Tamandua tetradactyla: one gene and its partner. The protein of the gene in region 1 purifies or fractionates together with the protein of each later gene. This does not show direct contact. Links are inferred from orthologs where the notes say so. Each region holds a gene or a part of one and is shown in the gene's direction. Other genes may lie near its edges. The genes, in order: DERL1 and SERPINA1.

Evidence for each region.
Region 2: the proteins of DERL1 (region 1) and SERPINA1 purify together in Homo sapiens (affinity purification with western blotting; 4 studies listed by BioGRID). This does not show direct contact. The link is inferred for Tamandua tetradactyla from reciprocal best matches to the Homo sapiens genes DERL1 and SERPINA1.

Annotation. Positions count from the first base shown.
Region 1 is NC_135332.1:167,568,674-167,578,384, reverse strand, and holds the start of DERL1 (derlin-1), read left to right. Parts: upstream 1-5,532; 5' UTR 5,533-5,818; coding exon 5,819-5,971; intron 5,972-6,131; exon of another isoform or gene 6,132-6,259; intron 6,260-9,711. UniProt on the Homo sapiens protein: Functional component of endoplasmic reticulum-associated degradation (ERAD) for misfolded lumenal proteins. Forms homotetramers which encircle a large channel traversing the endoplasmic reticulum (ER) membrane.
Region 2 is NC_135338.1:55,473,053-55,482,987, reverse strand, and holds the start of SERPINA1 (alpha-1-antitrypsin), read left to right. Parts: upstream 1-5,502; 5' UTR 5,503-5,620; intron 5,621-9,935.

The DNA of each region.
Region 1 (9,711 bases):
GATGTGGATTTAAAAACTATTTATGGTGGTGCAAGGATAGTTCAGTGGTAGAATTTTCACCTGCCATGCAGGAGACCTGGGTTTGATTCCCAGCCCATGTACTTCCCAAACAAATGAACAATGAAACCAACAACAAACAAACAATTTAACAAATGGTGCTGCAATAACAGGATACTCACATGGAAAAGAACGAAATGTGACCCTGCCATACAGCATACAAAAAAATAAAACTATTTATGCAAAGGTATAACTCTGAGAGGTCAGACCATTTTTAATAATCTATTCTGGAGGACACAACCACATTCCTAATTTTTATTTATTGGGTTTGAGATGGTTACAAACTATATGTGTGAATGTTTGTTTTATTATACAGGAAACGAGTATTAAGCATATGCACATAACTTGAAACATGGGCTGTTTTGCACATTTTATCCCACACAGGTAACCAAACAAAATTTTTATCAGTAGCACATATATCTTTGTCAAGTAGAGGAATTCGCTTATACCAGACATACAGTAAGCACTTAATACGTTTTATTGAAAAAACTGAGATGTTGTTTAAACTTAAACTACTTCAAGCTTTTTTGTTTTTGTTTTTTAGTTAAAACAATAATCCTATAACAATAGACAAATGGCCCAGATTAGCCCTTCGTCTGCGTACAAGTAGGTCACGTGCTGCTCTTGTCATTCATTCATTCAACTAGTGAGTCAGCCAGTCAGTCACTCAACATTTTGAATGCCAATTATGTGTCCAGCCCTGTGCAAGGACCTGGGGACGGAGAGGTTAAAAAAAAAAAGATGAATTCCATGTCCTTGGAATGCTCATAGCTTTGGTTGAAATGGAGAGTACAAGGGAAAAATAAATATGTAAGTATAAAACCATGTGATCAGCGCTATAAGTGAGGTATCAGTGGAATTTCAGAGAAGAGAGCAATTAATGCTCCTAGAGGGTGGGGTGGGGAAAAAAAACAAGAGGAATGACATGTGAGGTAGGCCTGGAAGGATGAAGTAGAAAAGGCTTTGTACACAGAAGAGAAAATGAGCTTTGGAGGTTGTTTATTATTGCAGCATGAAGTAGCCCTTCCTAATATATTGATTTTGTTCCCATGTTACAGATGAGGAAACTAAGGCTTGGAGTTGTTATATAATTTGCCCAAGGTCATAGAGCTACTGAGCCAAGATTCAAATGTAGATCTGTCTGGCTCCATTATCTCACTCTGCCATACCTATGTTTTTCTGCCTCTCATGCACCAGATTTATATGTTTTTTCCAAAAGACTGCCTTGGACCAGAAAATGATTGATTGCTAGCCTGGGCTACAAATCTTTGGGAACCCGTATAACAAGATTCTGTTCCATTCCCCTTGTAAAAAAGGACTTATTCATACATTAAAGGGAGTGTTGCTCAACAAATGGTTCTCAAGAGCACAGAGGAAGTGGGTCTAGGGCAAAGTGTGGTAGGAATGTAGACACGGCTAGTTTTGCCTGCCCGGCCCTCCCTCCCCATACTAAGAACTGCACTGCTCTCATACAACACTTTTTTAGCCCACCTGGGTCACTGTGATTGGCCCAGGGTGGGGCTTGACTAAAGAGCCAATCAGAGCCTTTTGCTTGGATTTTTGAGTATAAGACCAAGAACAGCAAGTCATAGTCCCTCTCTGGTAGTAAAACCTGGGGCTTGCCAAAAGCAGTGGCTTCAGCGTTGTGTAGACAGCCGATCTGAGAGAGGCGGACTGATGCTCAGGCAAAATCAGAAAAAAAAAAAAAAAAAAAAAAGAGATGGAAAGAGAGCATCCTGGTAGCATTTACATCCATGATTCTGATTGTTCCAGCAGCACCACTGGCCTCCTGTCCTTCCTGTACTATGGTTACTCTAGCTAAAACATTGCTTTTATTTCTAAAGCAGATGGAATTGGAAGAAAAAGAGATGGAAGGTTTTAGGAACTGGCATTACATGAGCTGAATTTGGAAGGATGAATAGGGTTATCCAGGTGGAGGAAAAGTGAGGAGAGGAAACATCATCTATAGAAAGGTTTGTGTGTGTGTGTGTGTGTGTGTGTGTGTGTGTGTGTATGTTGGGAAACAGCATGGTGTCTTCCAGAAACGGGAGGAGCTCAGTGCAGTGAAAGCACAGACTGCACTGGGTGTCATTATGTATGTAACATGTATGTAAGTGCTGAGCACTTAGAAAGCCCGCGATGATGATGATGATGATGGTAGTTATTTTTATATTACTGCCAAGGTGAAGGGTATGAACATAAGAGTAAGAATATGCAAAAGTCATAAAAGGACCTGGACTGCCATTATAAAGAGTTAGGATCTTGTCCTTAAAGGTTCTAGGGAAACTTGAAGTGGTTTCTGGATACATCCTTCTAACTGCAGTGGGAAGATCACTTAAAAAGACTTTGAGACTTGAGGCAGAAATAGGGTAGTTGCTGTTCTAATTGAAATAAAGAGTGTTTAAGTGTTGACCAACTCAGTCACCTTGGAAGGAATCCAAACTGGCAACAGTTAAATGTCAAGGTTTTATTGACACCTTGTGTAGGAAAACTGACATTGCAAAGGAAACACTTCTATTTCATCAGTAAAAAAGAATTATGTGTCATACAAGCTAACTGATGCAAACCCAAGCAACATTTGCCATTTTCTAGATGACGTGGTTATTTGGCCTTATCAGGGGCAGAAGGAGGCAGAAGCCACTGCAAGTGAACTATGACATAGTGCATCAGTACCAACCCTCCCCCCATTCTACTGTGAGTCAGAATAGAAAAAGCAAATCAAAAGCATGTGTTCAAAGCTGCTTAAATAAATATTCATGGCTAGGTGTTCTCATAAAACATACATGAAAGCAACCAAGGGCAGTGCTTCATGTATAATCAAAAGGATTTGGCATCTACAGCTGAGCTAGGACAGTATTCAGAGGAGAGGGGAAAAGTGATGTTGTGTCTTGACACGTAGTGAGATCATTCCCAAATACAATGAGAAAATTGCTTAGATAGATGAGGCTTTCTGAAAGGCGTCCTTGAGACTAAAGGAAGGAGAATAGAAAGTGAAGCTCCCTTTTCTGGTTTGCAGTCTACTGGAATGCAATATACACCAGAACTGGAATGGCTTTTATAAAAGGAATTTATTAAATAGTTACAAGTTTACAGTTCTAAGGCTATGTAAATGTCCAAACTAAGGCATCCAGGTAAAGATACCTTAATTTAAGAAAGGCGGATGCATCTGAACATCTCTGTCAGCTGGGAAAGCAAGCTAGTCCCTTGCAGGTCCCTTGCTCCTGGACTTCATTTGGCCATTTGGGCCTCTGTCCCTGTGGGGATTCCTCACTTTGCTTCTCTGGGATTGGCTTTCATCTCTTGACTTCCCTTGGCTTTCTCTGGGTTCTGGCTTGCTTAACATTTCACTCATGGCAATGTCTGCTGGGCTCCAAGCATCTCCAAACATCTGTGTCTCTATTCTCCAAATATCGGTATCTGTGTCAGCTGTGCTTTGAAGTTTCTGTTGGCTCACTCTCTGTCAACGCCAAGGTTTCTGTCGTTTCTGGCTCTCTCCCAAATGTTTCCTCTTTTAAAGGATTCTAATAAACTAATAAAGACTCACCTGGAATGGGTGGAGTCACATCTCCTTCTAATCAAAAGTTCACACCCACAATTGGGTGTGTCATATCTCCATGGAGATAATTTAATCAACATGTCCACTGTTTATACAACATTGTAGTTTTTCTTTTATATCAATATTGTCTTCCTAAGGTTGTGCCACTTTATACTCCTACCATGTATGAATGGGTTTCTTCACATATTCTCTGCATTTAATATTTATTAGGTCCCCAAATGTTGTTTGTGTTCATTGGGCTGCGGAATAGTTACTGTCTTCTTATCCTGTAAATGCTGATTTTGTTAATATCATGGACATGGTGCTAAGAAATGTTATCTAAAATCACAAACTGTCAAAAACTTTGTGGTTTGAACTTAAACGTGTGTGAATGGAACATCTTTCTCCTGTCTGGAGGAGTTGAGCCATTTGGGTTGCTTTGATGTAGTATTTTCAATCCAGGTGTAAAGCCTTGAATAATAAGATTTCAGGCCCAGTATTCCACATTTATCTTAACTTTGAGGTTTCTAAGGGAAGAAGACTCTGGATCTGTATGGTGGTTGGAAGCTGTACGTATCCTGGAAAAACACATGCTTTAATGTATTCCTGTGGGTATGAACCCATTGTAAGTAGCACCTTTTGATGAAATTACTCTGGTTAAGGTGTAACCCACCTCAATCAGGATGGGTCTTAATCCTATTATTGGAGTCCTTTATAAGCAGAGTGAAATTCAAACAGACAGAGAGAAAGCCAGAGGGGAAGCAGCCAGAAGCTGAAATCAACAGACCTGGAAGGGGAGAAACCAGTATAGCCATCATGTGTTGTGCCAAGTGACAAACCAAGGACCAAGGATTACCAGCAGTCATCCCCAGAATGTCAGTCTTCCGGGAGAAAGCATCAGTTTGATGATGGCTTGGTTTGGACTTTCTTTTAGCTGCAAACTGTAAGGAAATAAATTTGAATTGCTTGAGCAGCCTAGAAAACTAAAATAGTCTGCTTCCCACTTTAGGCCTAGGCCTGATGTTAACCCCATTTACACAGAGCCCTGCTTTGCTTTGAACATAGCAAAACACTTGATTTAAATTTACCAAAAACTCTATCTTTCCTCATAATAACCAATAATAGCCCTGTCTTGTTTTGTTTGGTAAGATAGCCCAGAGTTCTGCTGGTGTGCAATCTCCTTTGTTTAAAACAAAGTTTATAAATCTTTGTTGCACTACAGGAGTGTTCCTGCTGGTATTATCACAGGGCTTTATCAATTCTGAGCTGTAGGCTCGAAATCTGAAAACAAAAGAAAAAATTCCATCAATCTCTTTTTTACAGATTTAAAAAAAATTAAACAAGATGAACTTTCATGTGCTTGTAATTTAAGTCTTGCCTAGTGAACTACATGAACATCAAGATCATTTCTGTTTTCAGTTCCTCCAACACTCCAAGCAAGGTGGAGCAGCTGTTTACATGAAAAACTCTTCCCTTATCTTTGCCTGGCTGGCGCAGCCCAACATCATCTCCTCAGAGGAGGACTCCCTGACCATTCTCATCTAAAATAGTCATCTTTCCCCACAGCCTCCCCGCCCCTGCCTCAGTCTACTCCATCACCCTATTATATTCTCCTTATCACTATCCAAAATTATCTTACTCAATTATTTATTTGCTCATTATCTGTCTATTCCTAATAATGTAAGCTCTAAGAGAGATGGTACCATGTTCTCAGCCTGGTACTCAGTAGGCCCTCAACAACCATTTGCTGAAACAACACAAACACGCGGTAACAGCTTGCTTCCCTTTAAATACTTACCACGGTGGATCCACCTGCTTTCTATCTCTGGCGGAAAAAAGGTGGAGGGTATCCGGCCTCGCCATTGGCTGAAGCATTTGTCGTTGCTCCAGACAACCACTGTTTCCCACCAGTCCTGCCTTCGCCCCGCCCCTCACGGCTCCGCCCCGTCCCCAGGGCTGCGGACCCGCGACCCAGTGGTAAAAGTCACTCTTGCCCTTTAAGCGGCGGGACTTCTGGTCACGTTGTCTGCGGCCGCCGGAAGGGGAAGTTTCCCCTCGGAACGCTCCCTCGCTTGTCCGAATTCGGTGGCGCCACGTCCACCCGTCTCCGCCTTCTGCACCGGGGCTTCCCTCTACACCTTCCACTCGCGGAGCCGGCCGCGTAGGGAGGGAGGCCAGGACCGGAGTCGGGCGGCTGTGCACATCCTGGCTACCTGAGTGACGAAGATGTCGGACATCGGGGACTGGTTCAGGAGCATCCCGGCCATCACGCGCTACTGGTTTGCCGCCACTGTCGCGGTGCCCTTGATCGGCAAACTCGGCCTCATCAGCCCGGCCTACCTCTTCCTCTGGCCCGAAGCCTTCCTCTATCGTTTCCAGGTACTGTCCGGCTCCTGAGTCAGTGGAGACTACAGGCCCCAGGGGGCCCCGCGGCTGCGAAGTGTTTGCCAGCAGGCTGCGGGCGCGCGGTGTCTGCTGGGATTCGTAGTGCATCAGCTCGAGGGGGTTAGGGCGGGGTCTTGGGCTGGAAGGGAGGCCGAGGGGTCTGTAACGAGGACCTGGAGAGCTGGACACGTGGGTTTAGTCTGGTAGGAAGGGACCGACCCTGTCCTTGTATTAAGATTGTGCTCCCCACGCTCCGCACTCGGTGAAGGAGGCAGTGAAAAGGTAAGTCAGTGACATTTGTCAATATTGGATACCGGTGTTGGGACCCCCAAAACGCCAAGGTTAGCAGTCTGGGTGGGACGACCTGGAGCACATGCCTTTTACCTACATCTGTCACCCACGTGGGTGGCATGTAGGTTCCAACTTGGCAGATATCGAAGTGATCAGTCCTTTTCATGTTAAGGGAATTTTTTTTTCTCTGTAGGAGGTCAGAAGTTCAGAGGTGTTTGTTTAATCTGCGTCTCCCTCAGTTTAAACTACTGTTGACATGTAGTAGTTTAATGTACGAATGAATAAAGAGTAAATTGCACCAGAAATGGGAGATGCTGTTATTTTCTTAGGCCTGAGGAAACAATGTAGAGTGTTCACCTGGTAAGAGAATGTTAAGTTACTGGGGGTTATTTTTATTCACCTTTTTTAGTAGTTTAACTTTAATTGCTTGTAGGTCAGATACCAAGATTTGAGATTAAAGTCAGTGAGTGCAGTATTTAGCCCGAGGATAGCACTCATTTTTGCTTCTCCTCACTGGCTACTTAGTCTCCTTTGCTTGTCCTCTCCTGACCTTTAAATGTTGTGTTGTGCTCCAGGGATCAGTTGCAGGACCTCTTCTCTATATTCTGCACCTGGGTGATTTCATTCAGTTTGGTGGGTTTAAATACTTTTTAAACTGAAGACCCCCAAATACAAATACAGATATATTTCAGTCCAGATGTCCTCTTTTCTAGACTTGTAGATCCAACAGTCTATTTGAGATCACCACTTGGATGACTAACAGGCATCTCAAACCTGACATGTTCTAAATGGAATTCTCCTGCCTTCTGTTTTAGAAGTAAATAGCAACTCCAGTATTACAGAAGCTCAAGCTTCTGTAAAGTTTTGTAGTCATCTCTGACGTTTCTTACTGTCACACTCCACAATTGCTCAGCAAATTATGTTGAGTCTACCTTAGACATCGCAATCCATTATCATCTTCCAATTTTATTCCTTTCAATCTTTTCTCCAAACAGCTGGAGTGATCCTGACAAGTCCTGTCAGTCCTCTGCTCCGAGCTCTTTGTGTCTTCTCAGATGGCAGAGTAAAGTCTCAGTCCTTTCAGTGGCCTGCAAGCCCCCCAGCTACTTCTCTGACTTCATCTCCCACTCTTCTCCTCCTTGTACTTTAGGTTCCACAGTGGCATCCTTGCTGTTCCTTCATCATATAATGATCCCTCATCAGGGCTGTTGCACATGGTGGTCCCTTCTTGAGGAAGATAACTGTGGCTCTCTGCTTTATCTCCTTACCTCCTTCAGGTTTCTGCTCAAATGCCACCTTGCCAGTGGGGCCTTCTCTGATAGCCTTACATAAAATAGTACCTGTCCTTCACACTGTCTCCTTTACCTTTACTTTTCTTTGCCATGTATCACTTCTTAACATTTGTTATTCTGCTTCCCCTCAGAGTGTAAGACTCTATGAGAGTAGAATCTATGTCTTGTTTACTACTACCTTGTTCCCTAGACTAGTACCTGGCACATAGCAGGTGCTTATTTATTGGTTAAGTGCATGGATATTGGGTACCAGCTGTGTGCTGGGTACTGATGATACAATAATGAATGGATCAGAAGAAGTTCTGGCTCCCATGAAGAAAATAAAAGAGAGGCCTGTGATGGAGAGTGGAGTGTAATATTTGACAGTGTGGTCCAGAGAGGTGTCAAATAAGGTATTTGAACTGAATCCTGAGTAACAGCAGCCAGCCTTGGGGAAGAACTTGTTCTGGGACAGCCTTCCAAGAAAAAGGAATAGGAAGTGAAAAGGTTAGGGGCAGTAACAAGGAGCAGACGACTGAATTGCTGGTGAAGTGAGCTGTAGGAATGAGGCCCAGTAGATGAGGACAGGAAGATAGTCAGGGGTATGTGCAGTAAACTGAACTTGGAAAAGTAGGTCAGGGCCAGATCTTATAGGGCTTTCTAAGGCCATGTTAAGTGTGTTGAAGTTTATTTTGAGGGCAAAAGGAGTTTCTGGAGGCTTTTGAGTGAAGGACTGACAAGATTGCCTTTTTTACTTCATTGGGTGGACTCCGTGAATGTGTGTGCATGCGCGGTGGGAGAAGGAATGGAGGTGGGGGTTGCCTACCATGGCGTGTGCACACGTGTGTGTGTGTCTGAGAGAGAGAGGGAGGGAGAGCGAGCGCACTTTGAAGAGGGATAGGTAATGGGGTCAGAGAGGAGTTAAGGTAGGAGGCAAAAGAGATAGTGAATTTTACTCAGGGTTGGCTCTGAAGTTGGAAGTGGACAGATTTGGGAGTTGGAATAGACAAGATTATTGTTGGACTGGATGTGAAGAATGAAGGGGTGAAAGAAACAGGATTCAAAGATGGCATTCAGGAATTAACCAAGAGGCTGGTGGAGCCATTTATTGGGGTTAGTGTGTAGGGAGGCTCAGGTTGGGGGGTGTGGATGAAGATTTAGGCTTTGACCTAAGTCTGAGGTACTTTTTCTGTATCCAGAAAGTCGAGTAGGCAGTTGGGTATAAGGCTGAAGTGCACCCAGAATGGCGTTCTGTTTTCTTTTTATTTGCTTTAGTAAGTATCTATTGCAAGTGTTGTGCACATTTTGCCTGGTGCCCTTATTGGGTAATATGTGTACATGGGGAGCCACGGTTGTAAATCATTTTGTGAAAAGAATTTGATCAACACTTTGACCCTTGCAAAATCTTGCTGACTTGTATGATCAAATTAGTAAAATAAGTAACATGAAAAAGCCTTTCTGATAGGGAGCAGGTGAATAATGTTAAGAGGTGAAGTGACTAGTAATCTCCTTTAGAAAGAGTTCTCATTCACGTCACACCTTTCCCATTTTTCCCATCTTCCTTATTTTGTTTCTTGTGGGCTTGAGGAGTGGTGGAAGGAGGGAGGTGCAATGCATTGATTGCCCAAGTATGGAAAGACTAATCTCTATACTTTGTTCTTCTCTAGACAAGTGTGACTTTTCGACCCACCTGGAGGAACTCATTCGCAAATGAAGCAGTTGAGGAAAAATTGCATCTGAGAGGCTGATATGAAAGGACAGAGTGTGTGTGTTGTTGCTTGAGCAGAATTTCCGCTATAGGCTCATTGTTTCAGTCAAAGCTGGATCTTTAATGTAGACCTGGGAATTTTGCTTCTTGCATTTAAGAAAAAATTGATGATGATTCATTTAGAATTGTGGATTTGTGTTGGAAGTCAGAAAAGTTATTTTTCCTCCATAACTATTGGTTTCCTCTGAATGCTTATTGGTCTGGAATGCTGAAGTTTAAAATGTTATTTCCTTAGTTTGGGTAAATCGAAACACTACATTGTGATAAGACTCAACTACACTGTAGTCCAGAATTTCTCCCCATTTCTAGTCCCTTATAATTACACCAAACATTCGAACAGTGCACAGCGATGAAATGTCTTCATATTGGTCCTTGATCAACTCAAGGAGAAGCTGTGATTTCCT
Region 2 (9,935 bases), on another chromosome or scaffold:
TCACTTCTCCTTTGCAAACTTTGAGCCTGGCGCCCCAGAGGTGATATTTAGTGAGTGAATGAATAAATGAACAGATACATTAATAGAAAGGAAAACTAAAGAAGACAGCCTCGTAAGCTGACTATAGATGGAGGAAGGAGGGCAGGGAGGAAGAGAAGGAGGCAGACTGGCTGCATCGTCAACACCGTGGTGACTCTCTGTGCCTCAGTTTCCTCATCGAATGACAATTATGGAACTCATGGCATGGGATTGTGTGAGTTGATAATCACACAGCATTTGGAACAGAGCCTCGTACTGAGCACGTGCTTGAGAAGCATCAGCTGGGATAGAAGTCAGTTTGGGAATCTGTGTCATAAAATGAAAGCAGCGAGAGACTCCGGAAGACCTAGCAAACACAGATGCTTAAAGTCAATATGGACAACGTGAACAAGGTGAATCGACCCATTTCAACCCAAGGTCTATGTTAGGCAAGTTCTAAAGGGCCCCATGGTTCTCTGTTATCTGAGCCACCCACACAAAGTTGCATTTCTGATAAGCAAGTCCCAAAGTCCTGCTGCATCTCCCTTGGCCCCGGGCATGGGTGCACCCACAGTCCCAGCCCGCTGGCCTGCCCTGCTCGCTTTTCTCTCCCATTCCAGCAGGGAGCCTCAGACAGGGGCACCCACGTCATGAGGCAGGAAAAATGAGGACGTGCCTAGAACTTGGTGTCATTGCTGCCAAGCAAGTGGGTGCTTTCCAGAACATCTGCAGGGATTGCTGCAAGGAGAAAAGAGAGAGCACTGACAGGAGTGCCTATTGGACAATATGCGGCCATTTGAACATCGAATAGGAAATAATTATAGTTCAATAGGACAGGCTGCAAGTTCATAGTGACACTCAAAGAAAAGTTTGAAAGAAGTGTAGAAAAGCTTTGTTATGACACACGTTAGTTTTATTAATTTTAATAAGCAGGTGGCAGAACTATAAATGCATGTTTTAGTCCTTCTATCAGCTGTGTTGTCACTCACCAATGCATAGATATGCTTTATTTCCTTCTCTATCTGATTAGGACAAGGAATGAAAACAAGGCACTGTGAACAATCCACACAGAGCTGGAGAGAGCAAGAATCACATGCAGGAAGCAGAGCCAGAGGTTGCACACACAGGGAAGAAGGCTCCAGCAGGGCGTGGCAAATTGGTGGATTCACAAGTATGCCCAGAGTAAGTGAAATAATTGTGCAAACTCAATTCACCTCCAGAAGATAAAATCTTGAAACATCAGGTTAATCCTGTTAATTAAAACAATTTATGAGAAGACAAACACAAGTGCTGTTTGTGTTAACAAGCAGGCCCTGCATTAAACACCCTCATTTAAACCTCACAACGGTCATGTGAGAAAGGGATTATCATCCCACTTTATAGATGAGGAGACCGAGGTTTAGAGATGTAAAGTGAAGCCTTCCCCTGGATCCAAGTCTGCCTGCCTCTGATTGCTTTGGCATCTCACAGGTGCTCTGAAAGATGCTTCTGACCTTGTACCTCCAAGAAGCAAAATGAGGGCAGGCCCTCAGGAGAGGGGATTGGAGGCATTTTCAGATAAGCAGAGACCTGAATCTGAGAATAGTGCTACTCACCAAGCCTAGAACCCAGGACCTATCTAAAAGGTTTTCCAGCCCAGCTCCCCAAAGATGATGGAGGTGGGTGGGCATTGCCTTGCAGTCTGGCATGTGCCTGAGGCTGCCCTAAGCACTTGATGCATTGTCTCATTTACTCTTCACAATCTTGGTGGAAGGCACTATTCTTATCCCTATTTTACAGATAAAGAAACTGAGGCATAGAGACGTTAAGTGGCTTGTCTACAATCACACAAAAAGAGTAGAGTTAAGGTTTGGACCAGATAGCTTAGCCTCTGAGCCCGTGATTTAATCACTGATTTATAATGCCCCCCAAGAGAAGGGAGCAGTGCTGGAGCAGGGAGGGGAAAGTCTGAGAGTGGGGATGTCTGGTGTGTGTGTAGGGGGGAGGAGGGCAGCACAGGCTGGTTCCTACACTCTCTTACCAAGGGGTTCAGCAGCCCTGAAATCCAGCCAGGGGACCTCTGGTCTTTGATCAACTTGGCCCAGGGCCCTTCTCCAGCATACCCCACACCTCACCCACAACTTGTTGCAGACCCCAGCCTCAGCTCTCATGCCTCTCCCCATCCCACATGCCGGACTCCCATTCTTGGGCCCTATGGAGAGGTAAGATCTCCCCAGATGCCCCTTATTTACAACCAGCCAAGATATGCATTCACTCCAGGGAACAGCCCAGAGGCTAATAGACAATTCCAGAAGTAACCAAGTGGATACAATTTTCCCCACCATGGTCTGTGGTTCGTGGGCACAGTGCCCTCAAGAATGGCCACTGGGTGCCCCCTAGGCATTCTGTCCTTGCTCATTTTCCCAGACACCCCACCCCTTCTCTCAGGAGTATGCCCAGAGTAGTTCTCTGCAGCATCAAAGGTGATAGGAAGATGCCAAGAGGAAAGTGTGGGAGTTTAAAGATAGACAGATAAGGAAGGGTGGGACATGGAGTCCTTGACCCAAAAGTCTCAGGGAGGACCTGCACCCCAGGACTGGCCTGAGAGGTCTGCCCAGCAGAGAGATCTGCTGGATCCCTCCTGCATCCAGCCAGGATCTGGGACATACCTTCTCCCAGCCTCCAAGGGCCCCCTTTGGGCATTTCAGAGATGGCTCATCCTCTTCCTTCTGCAGCTGGCCCTGGGCACCAGCAGAGATTCCATATGCCCAAGCCTAGGCAAGTAGGGTCACGCCTGCCATCTCCATTAATCATGAGCTGGGTGCCATCCCTCTCACAGAGGCCAGGGGAACTGATGACTAGTTCTGGGCCACACAGCCCTGGGACAGGGCAGGACAGCTGGTGACACACAGAGCTACCTGGGCTGGAAAGGCATGGCATGGCATCTGCCTGACAAGCTAGCGGCTTTGTGTAAGGCCACTTCCTGCCCCAGTGCCCCCACCCCTCCAGATCTGTTGCCACTGCCAGGAGCCTCAGTCCTCCTGGGGAGGCAGAGATTGCACAGCACTCAGGGTGCCCACAGCCTCCCCGCAGCAGCCCAGGAGCCCAGGAGCATTGTTGGAGGAGGAGGAAGTGGAGGAGTTGGCCTGCCCAGCAGGCGTGGCGGCCACGGCAGCCCTGCAGCACCCAGAACTCAAGGTAGAGGGGCAGGTGCCCAGGCCACTGGCCAAGGAGACAGAGTTGGGGAATGCGGGAAGGTGGGCTTCCTTCCAGAGAGCATTGCTCACCCTGGGTGAGAGATAAGAGGGGCAGCTGGGCTGTGGGGCTTTTGTACAGATAGGGAACTGAGGCCCAGGGAGGGAAAGGAACTTGCCCAGGAGCATGGAGGACAGGCCCAGCTGTCTAGACTGTGAGCAGATGTAGAGTCCTGGAGAAAATGCCCACTTGTCAGCTCAGGAGAAAAAGCAGGGGCCTTAAAGGCAGAGGATGGAGCTGTGGGCCTAAAGGGGGAGTGGGGCAGAGAGGGGAACCTCGCCTTTCTGAGCCTCTGTTTCCCACTCCTATTAGAAAGGCAGTATACAAACTCAGCCCACAGGCTTCCTGTGAGTAAATGAAAGAATGCCTTGCCCCAGGGACCAACTGCCTAGAGGAAGCTCCTAGAACATACCCTTTCCTCACCCACCCCAAGGCCTTCCCTAATCATGGTCAGCAAGGGCTGTGGCCAGGACCTCAGGGAGACCCACTAATGCAGAGGAGGGATGGCAGGCTGAGCTGTGCACACCCAACTCTGGACTAATCTTGGGTTGCTGCATTTAGTCCTCACAACACCAAAATGGGATAGGAACCCACTTTACAGACAGAGAAACTGAGGCACAGGAAGGTTAAAGAATTTTCCTGAAGATTTCACCACTAGCGAGACACACCTAGCCCCCGAGTCCCTGTTCTGAACCTGGGTGTAAAGGAACCAGCAGGTCACTCATCTGGCAGAGCCCCAAAGTAGAAGCAAAACTGGGACTGGGTCCATGAGAGAAGGGGCTAAACTCATTTACTCACACACTCAGCAAATACCTTCTGAGTATAGCCCAGGTGCCAAGCAGGCACCAGACCCTGGGGTATGAGTGGGCAAAGCAAACAGAAGGTCCTACGTGAGGCATACAGTGTGGTCATCAGAGAGGCAGCAGAAGAAAGAAGGGACAAAGGGGGTGGGAGGGTTGATGCTGGTTCATTTAGGGCAAGGCCACGGAAAGCCTCTCTGGTTGGGGGGAGCTTGGGGAGAGGCCTGAATGGAGTGAGGGAACAGTGTTTCTGGCAGCAGGAACAGCTAGCCTCCCTGAGACTGGAGTAGGCCCACTAGATTCCAGGGAGAAAAGGTCAGTGAAACTGGAGCAGAATAATCACTGGAGTCCATGAAAAGAGGACCCAGCAGGGGGTTTGTGGGCCACTGTAGGGACTTTGATTTTGTCTCTGAGCCAGAGGGAGCCACGGATTGGGATGGAGGTGGCACAGGGGGTATGTGAATTTACTTAGGATTTTAAAGGGATCACAATCAAGAGGAGCTGGGCAGGGCTGGAGCCTACTGACCTCTGCCCTAGCACACCACCCCCAACCACCATCAGAGTCCCCAAGGCGACGGCCTGCACCTGTGGCCTGGACCACTTTCCTGAGGACAGGGCAAGCAGTGGATGTGTTGCACCCGCCGGCTGGGAGCTGAGCCTCCTTCTGTGACAGCAGCCCGGAAGCAGCGCTGAACAGAGGAAACAAGAGAAAGGACCTACTGCGGGTCAGGTATTTTAAACAAATTACCTTGTGCAGCACTGACAAGGATGCTAGGAGGGGAAACTTCCAACAACTATGAGGCAGAGAGAAACACCTCCTGGTTCAGAGAAGTGAAGCCGTCTGCCTGAGGCCACACAGCTCTTTAGTGGCAGATACAGGCAAGATTTGACCTAGAATGGCCTCAGCCAAAGCCAGACTCTCTTTACAAGTTCATACTCTGGTCCCCACCTGGACCCTTGGAGACCCACACGAGCCTAAAGTGACCATGTCGGCCTCATCATTTCCCACCATCCCCTTGGCAAAGTCAAGAGGGATTTTACACCGGAGGCTGGTTTGGTGATTTTAGATCAGGGGCCTCTCCTTTCTGGGCCTCAGTTTCCCCCTCTGATAATAACCCACATTAGCCTCCCCAGGCAGAGCCTTCAAAATGACTCAGCAAATGGGGGCTCTCGCTCTTGGGAGGGTGAGGCAGCCCTGGAGGGCTCCTGAGCAGGCGCATAGAGCTGGCCACGTGGGGCTGGGCCCGGAGGTCTGACTCACCCCCGACACACACTCACCCCCAGCCTTAGATGCAAGACGCGGCGGTTTATGAGCCAGAAAAGCCGGCTCCCTTTGGCATTCGGGGCAGAGGGCCATGCCGAGAGCGGAAGGGCAGCCTGGGTGGGCGGCCTGCTGCCCATCATGGACTTAGTCCCTGTTTGCTCCTCCGATAACTGGGTGACCTTGGTTAATGTTCACTAGCAGCCTCCCCCATCGTCCCATCTGCATCCACTGCTTAAATACGGACGAGCGCAGGGGATCTGTCTCCTCAGCTTTGGTCACCAGCCCGGCTCTGGGACCGTGAATCGTGAGTATTCTTTTGCTGGGGAGAGCCTCCCAAGACCCTCCTGCTCTGTGTGGCCAGGCAGGCAGCTGGTCTGGGGCCGATGGGGGGTGGCCCCAGGAGACTCAGGCAAGATGGAGCCTGAACCCCTATTTCCTGTTGTCATAGCCACAGCAGCCCCAGGGTCCCCGCTTTCTGAGCCTGCCCAGGGGTTCCTGATTGAGTATATAGTCACAGCCTATATATTCCATAGGCAAGAAGTAGAAGACCCTCCATTCTGGGGGTGGGGGGAGGTGGGGGTTGGCATCTGGCTCCACAGTCCCCGGACCCCAGAAGACCCCAGGACACAGCAGCAGCAACAGTGAGGGTGGTGGGTCCTGTTTGCACTGGACCTGTATCTTCACGGCTTTCCTGTGGTCTGTGTCCTACAAGCTTCACAGGCCCTCCATGCTTGGGTGCGTGCCCTTTTCCCCTTCTACAGGTGAGGAAGGTAAGGCCCAGGGAGGGGCAGTGACCAGCCCAGGGTCACGTAGGGACCGCATCGGCCTCCAGCCTGTTCAGACGGAGTGGAACTGTGCAGGCCCTCAGCCTGGATGGGCCCCCACATGCGGTGGGGACAGGGAGCTGGGGGCTGGGGCCAGGCTGCCTGAGTTTGAATCCTGGAGGGTGTATGATTTGGGGCAAGCTGTTACCCTCTGTGCCCCCAATTTCCTCATCTGTAAAATGGGTATAACCATAGTAGCCATCTTGGACGGTTTTTGTGAGCTTCAATTCACCCATACGTGAAAAGGCTGAGATGTTGCCAGGGGTCCTAGCCCCAGACCCCAGCTCTGCCTACCAGGGTCTACTCTAGAGGTATTTCTCAGGCTCTGGCCAGAAACCCCAAATGCTGGGCTGGCCTCAAGGCCCTCTGTCGGATGCTCAGTAGTCTTCTTTGCAGCTAACATCTCTGTCCTCTTATACAAAATAGAGATAACCTTTGCCCTCCCTCCTTCCCTCTCATCCCACCTTACTCTCTGGAATGTTGGAAGGATTTGATTTTTCTATTATCAGTTTTTGGAGGTGAGGGCTCCAGGGATAACTAAAGCCAGAGGAGCTGGAGGCCCATTTGGCAACCTGGAAAGGTCCATGACAGCATCAGTAACCATAACTTGGGCTTCCTGAGAGCTTACCATGCACCAAACACTTCTCAAGACTTTGTGTATATTCAATCTGCACGTTTTGGCTCTGGGAGGGAAGGCCATGCTGATCATCACCAGGAAGGTTCAGAGAGGGTAAGTGACTTGTCCAAGTCACACAGCCAATGGCCATTAGAACTCAGGCAATCTGGCCTCAAAGCCTCTCCCCTTGGCTGCTAAGCCATGCTGGCCCTTTATATTTAGCCAGGCCATCTCTGAGGTTTTTTTCTGTTTGAAGACTCCTCACTTCAGCTTTGAACGAAGAGAATGCAAGGAATGGAGCAGGAATGCCTAATCTTATATCCAGTTTCTAAGCTCCTAGCTCCGTGGTTTTTAGTAACCTCCTGGTGTCTCCATTTCTCCAACTATAAAATAGGCTAATAATAATTCACCCTTCATGGGGTAAGCTCTGAGGGAAGATTAAATGGGACAGTGCCCATAAAACACCGGATGTTTAGTAAGTGCAATGCTGCTTCTGTTTGTTTAGCATAGGGCTCGGAGCTAATAAACCTTAAATTAACATGAAGAGTTGAATATACTGTTTGTTTACCAAATTCAGAGGTAACACCGCCTCACTCCTTTAACGCCCCTGGATAGAAATGGTGTGAGATCAGGCAGAAGGACAGCACACGCCATTCTCTCCTGCCTGCCCAGTCCTGCTCACACCTGCCCTGGATATTGGCAATAGCACCATTAGATTCTCACTGTTTGGTTTAAAGTGTGGACTCTGTGCTCACATACTTCTGATGACATCACCACCCAGTTCCTCTTCTCCAGTTAGGTTTCCCCAGCCTGGGCTTTGGGGTGTCCTCCCTCCCAGAGGGGGCTGGCCTTGATAAAAACGAGAGAATCGAATCGAGGCCTTGGGCTCCTTGGGTTGTAAGGAACAGATTCAGAAGCAAATGAACCAAAAAGGGGATGCTAGAGGCCAATGTCAGATCCTCCAGGGCCCAATTCTGATTTTCTGTGGGTCAAAGACCTGAAGACGCAGCTGCCTCAAATGGCGGCCAGAGTGGTGAGAAAACAAAGGGTGGTTCAGGATTTGTCCCTAACTTGCTGTGTGAGCCTGGCCAGGCCCTGCCCATCTCTGGGCCTCAGTCCTTCACTATGAAAGAAGGAAATTAGTGTGTAGGATGTAACACCCGGGAAGATTAGAGGTAGATACTCACTGCCTGCACCACTGGCTATAGTTGCCCCACACCAGTGTGCCCCTGAAAGGCCAGAAGCTCCTGGAGTGGGAGCGTACCTCACCCATGCCCCTCCCATGAAAATTCTCAGTCTCAGTTGTGCTCAATCAAACCCCGGATCTACCTTCAATAAAAATCTAATGTAATCAGGAGACCTCATTTTGGCCCATCCAGGCCCTCTAGCTCCAGTGAAGGAAAACAGGGCCCCAGGGACAAGGCAATGCCAGCCCAGGGCCAAGTGTACAGTAGTGGAAACACAGGGATCCCCGGCCTCTGACCTCAGACCACTCAGCACACCTAGTGTCCCCACCTTGCCTGTGCCCAAGTCCCATCCAGTCCCTGAGCCCTGCAAGGATGGGGAATTTCCAGACCTCCTAAGGACTCCCAAATCCAGTCAGGAAGTAAGGGAGACACCTGAGGGAGATGGAAATAAACAGAACTAATTTTAGCACTGGCCTTGGAGCTGAAACAACTGGCTAGTTTTAAGGAAAACATAAACATGTTTGCTCTATTTGGATTATTAGAAGCACAAAAGTCAGAAAAAAGGTGGTAAAGGGAAATAAGTTTAGTGATTCATTCTGTTGTTTTGGAGGGAAGAAACTTCTAAACGTCCAAGTGTGGACTTTTCTTTTTCCCAACTTTTCCCATCAGGAAAATTCGAGATCATATCCCAAATTCGAGAATAAATTTCTCTTTGCATTTTATGATGATTTTAGTTATGTGCACAATAGCTAGGTGTCCATTGGCAGGGTCTCCTCTTCTTTGACCTCAGTTTCTCTATCAGTGGTGAGAGTGGGTTGAACTTATGAGGCTACAAATGGGTAGCCCAAGGCCTGCGCAAATCTGGACAGGAAGCTCAATGGAGCAGGGCAGGCTCTGTGACCACAGACACCGTTACTTTCAGCATCCCGAGGCACAGCTGCCCTCACTGGATCAGCCAGAGGCCTTCAGCTCCCTGTATTTCACCCCCAGACCTCAAACACATTTGCCTCCCCTGCCTGGCCCTGAAGGCTTGAGTTAGCAACTGATACTACTCTTGTTGACAAAAGAGTTGTTCTCTCAGACCCCTCCAGCTAAGGGTTGGCATCTTGACTTATTTCACCTAATTCTCCCCAAAATCCCATTTCACAGATGAGGCACAATGAGGCTCAGAGAGATAAAATGAGAGGAGGTAAGCAACAGACCCAGGATTAGGACCTGGATGTGTCTGAAAATAAAGGCAATGCTTTTTCGGCATCCTTGCACACTCATTCCCTACCCCACCCCACCACACACACACACACACACACACACACACACACACATACACACCTGATATCCAGGAGACACAGCATCTGCCATGCACATAAGTGGGAGGCTCAGGGCTAGGACAGTTCAGGGCTCCAACAGAAAGGAGAATGGCCTGTTCATTCTTGGGGCCCCAGACTCATGGTGGGGCTGCTCCCTCTCTCAGGAAAGGCTTCTGTGGGCAATGAGTCCACAGGGGGATTTAGTGGGTTTAGGTCCCCAGCTGCTCTGAGGAGGTGTCACTAAACTCCAGGGGGTGGAAGCACTACAGGACGTTTGATCACACAGTGATGGCAGGAGGGAGCTGTGTGCTTCTGACGGCCACTGCAGGACCCTGGGGACCCCCACCAGGTCCCATATCCCAGGAGGGAATGGACAGCCCTCTCAAACTGAGACAAGACACAATGAGAAAATTCAGTTGGGTCTCGGTCAAGCTAAATCCTTCTCTTCTGCCAATTAAGGAGAGGTCCTCAAGCCAGCCAGCCTGCTCTGAGCAGGTGACCCATAGGGGTCAGCTTTGACCCCAGGGAACAAATGCAGTTGAGGATGTGAAGCAGACGCTGTGAACATATGGAGGCATTTTGGGTTTCACAACACAAGGTAGAGGGTTGTTCCAAGCATGCAGTGAATACTGCTCAGGGATGCCACTAAGCATCTCACAATGCACAGGACAGACACCCAGAGCAA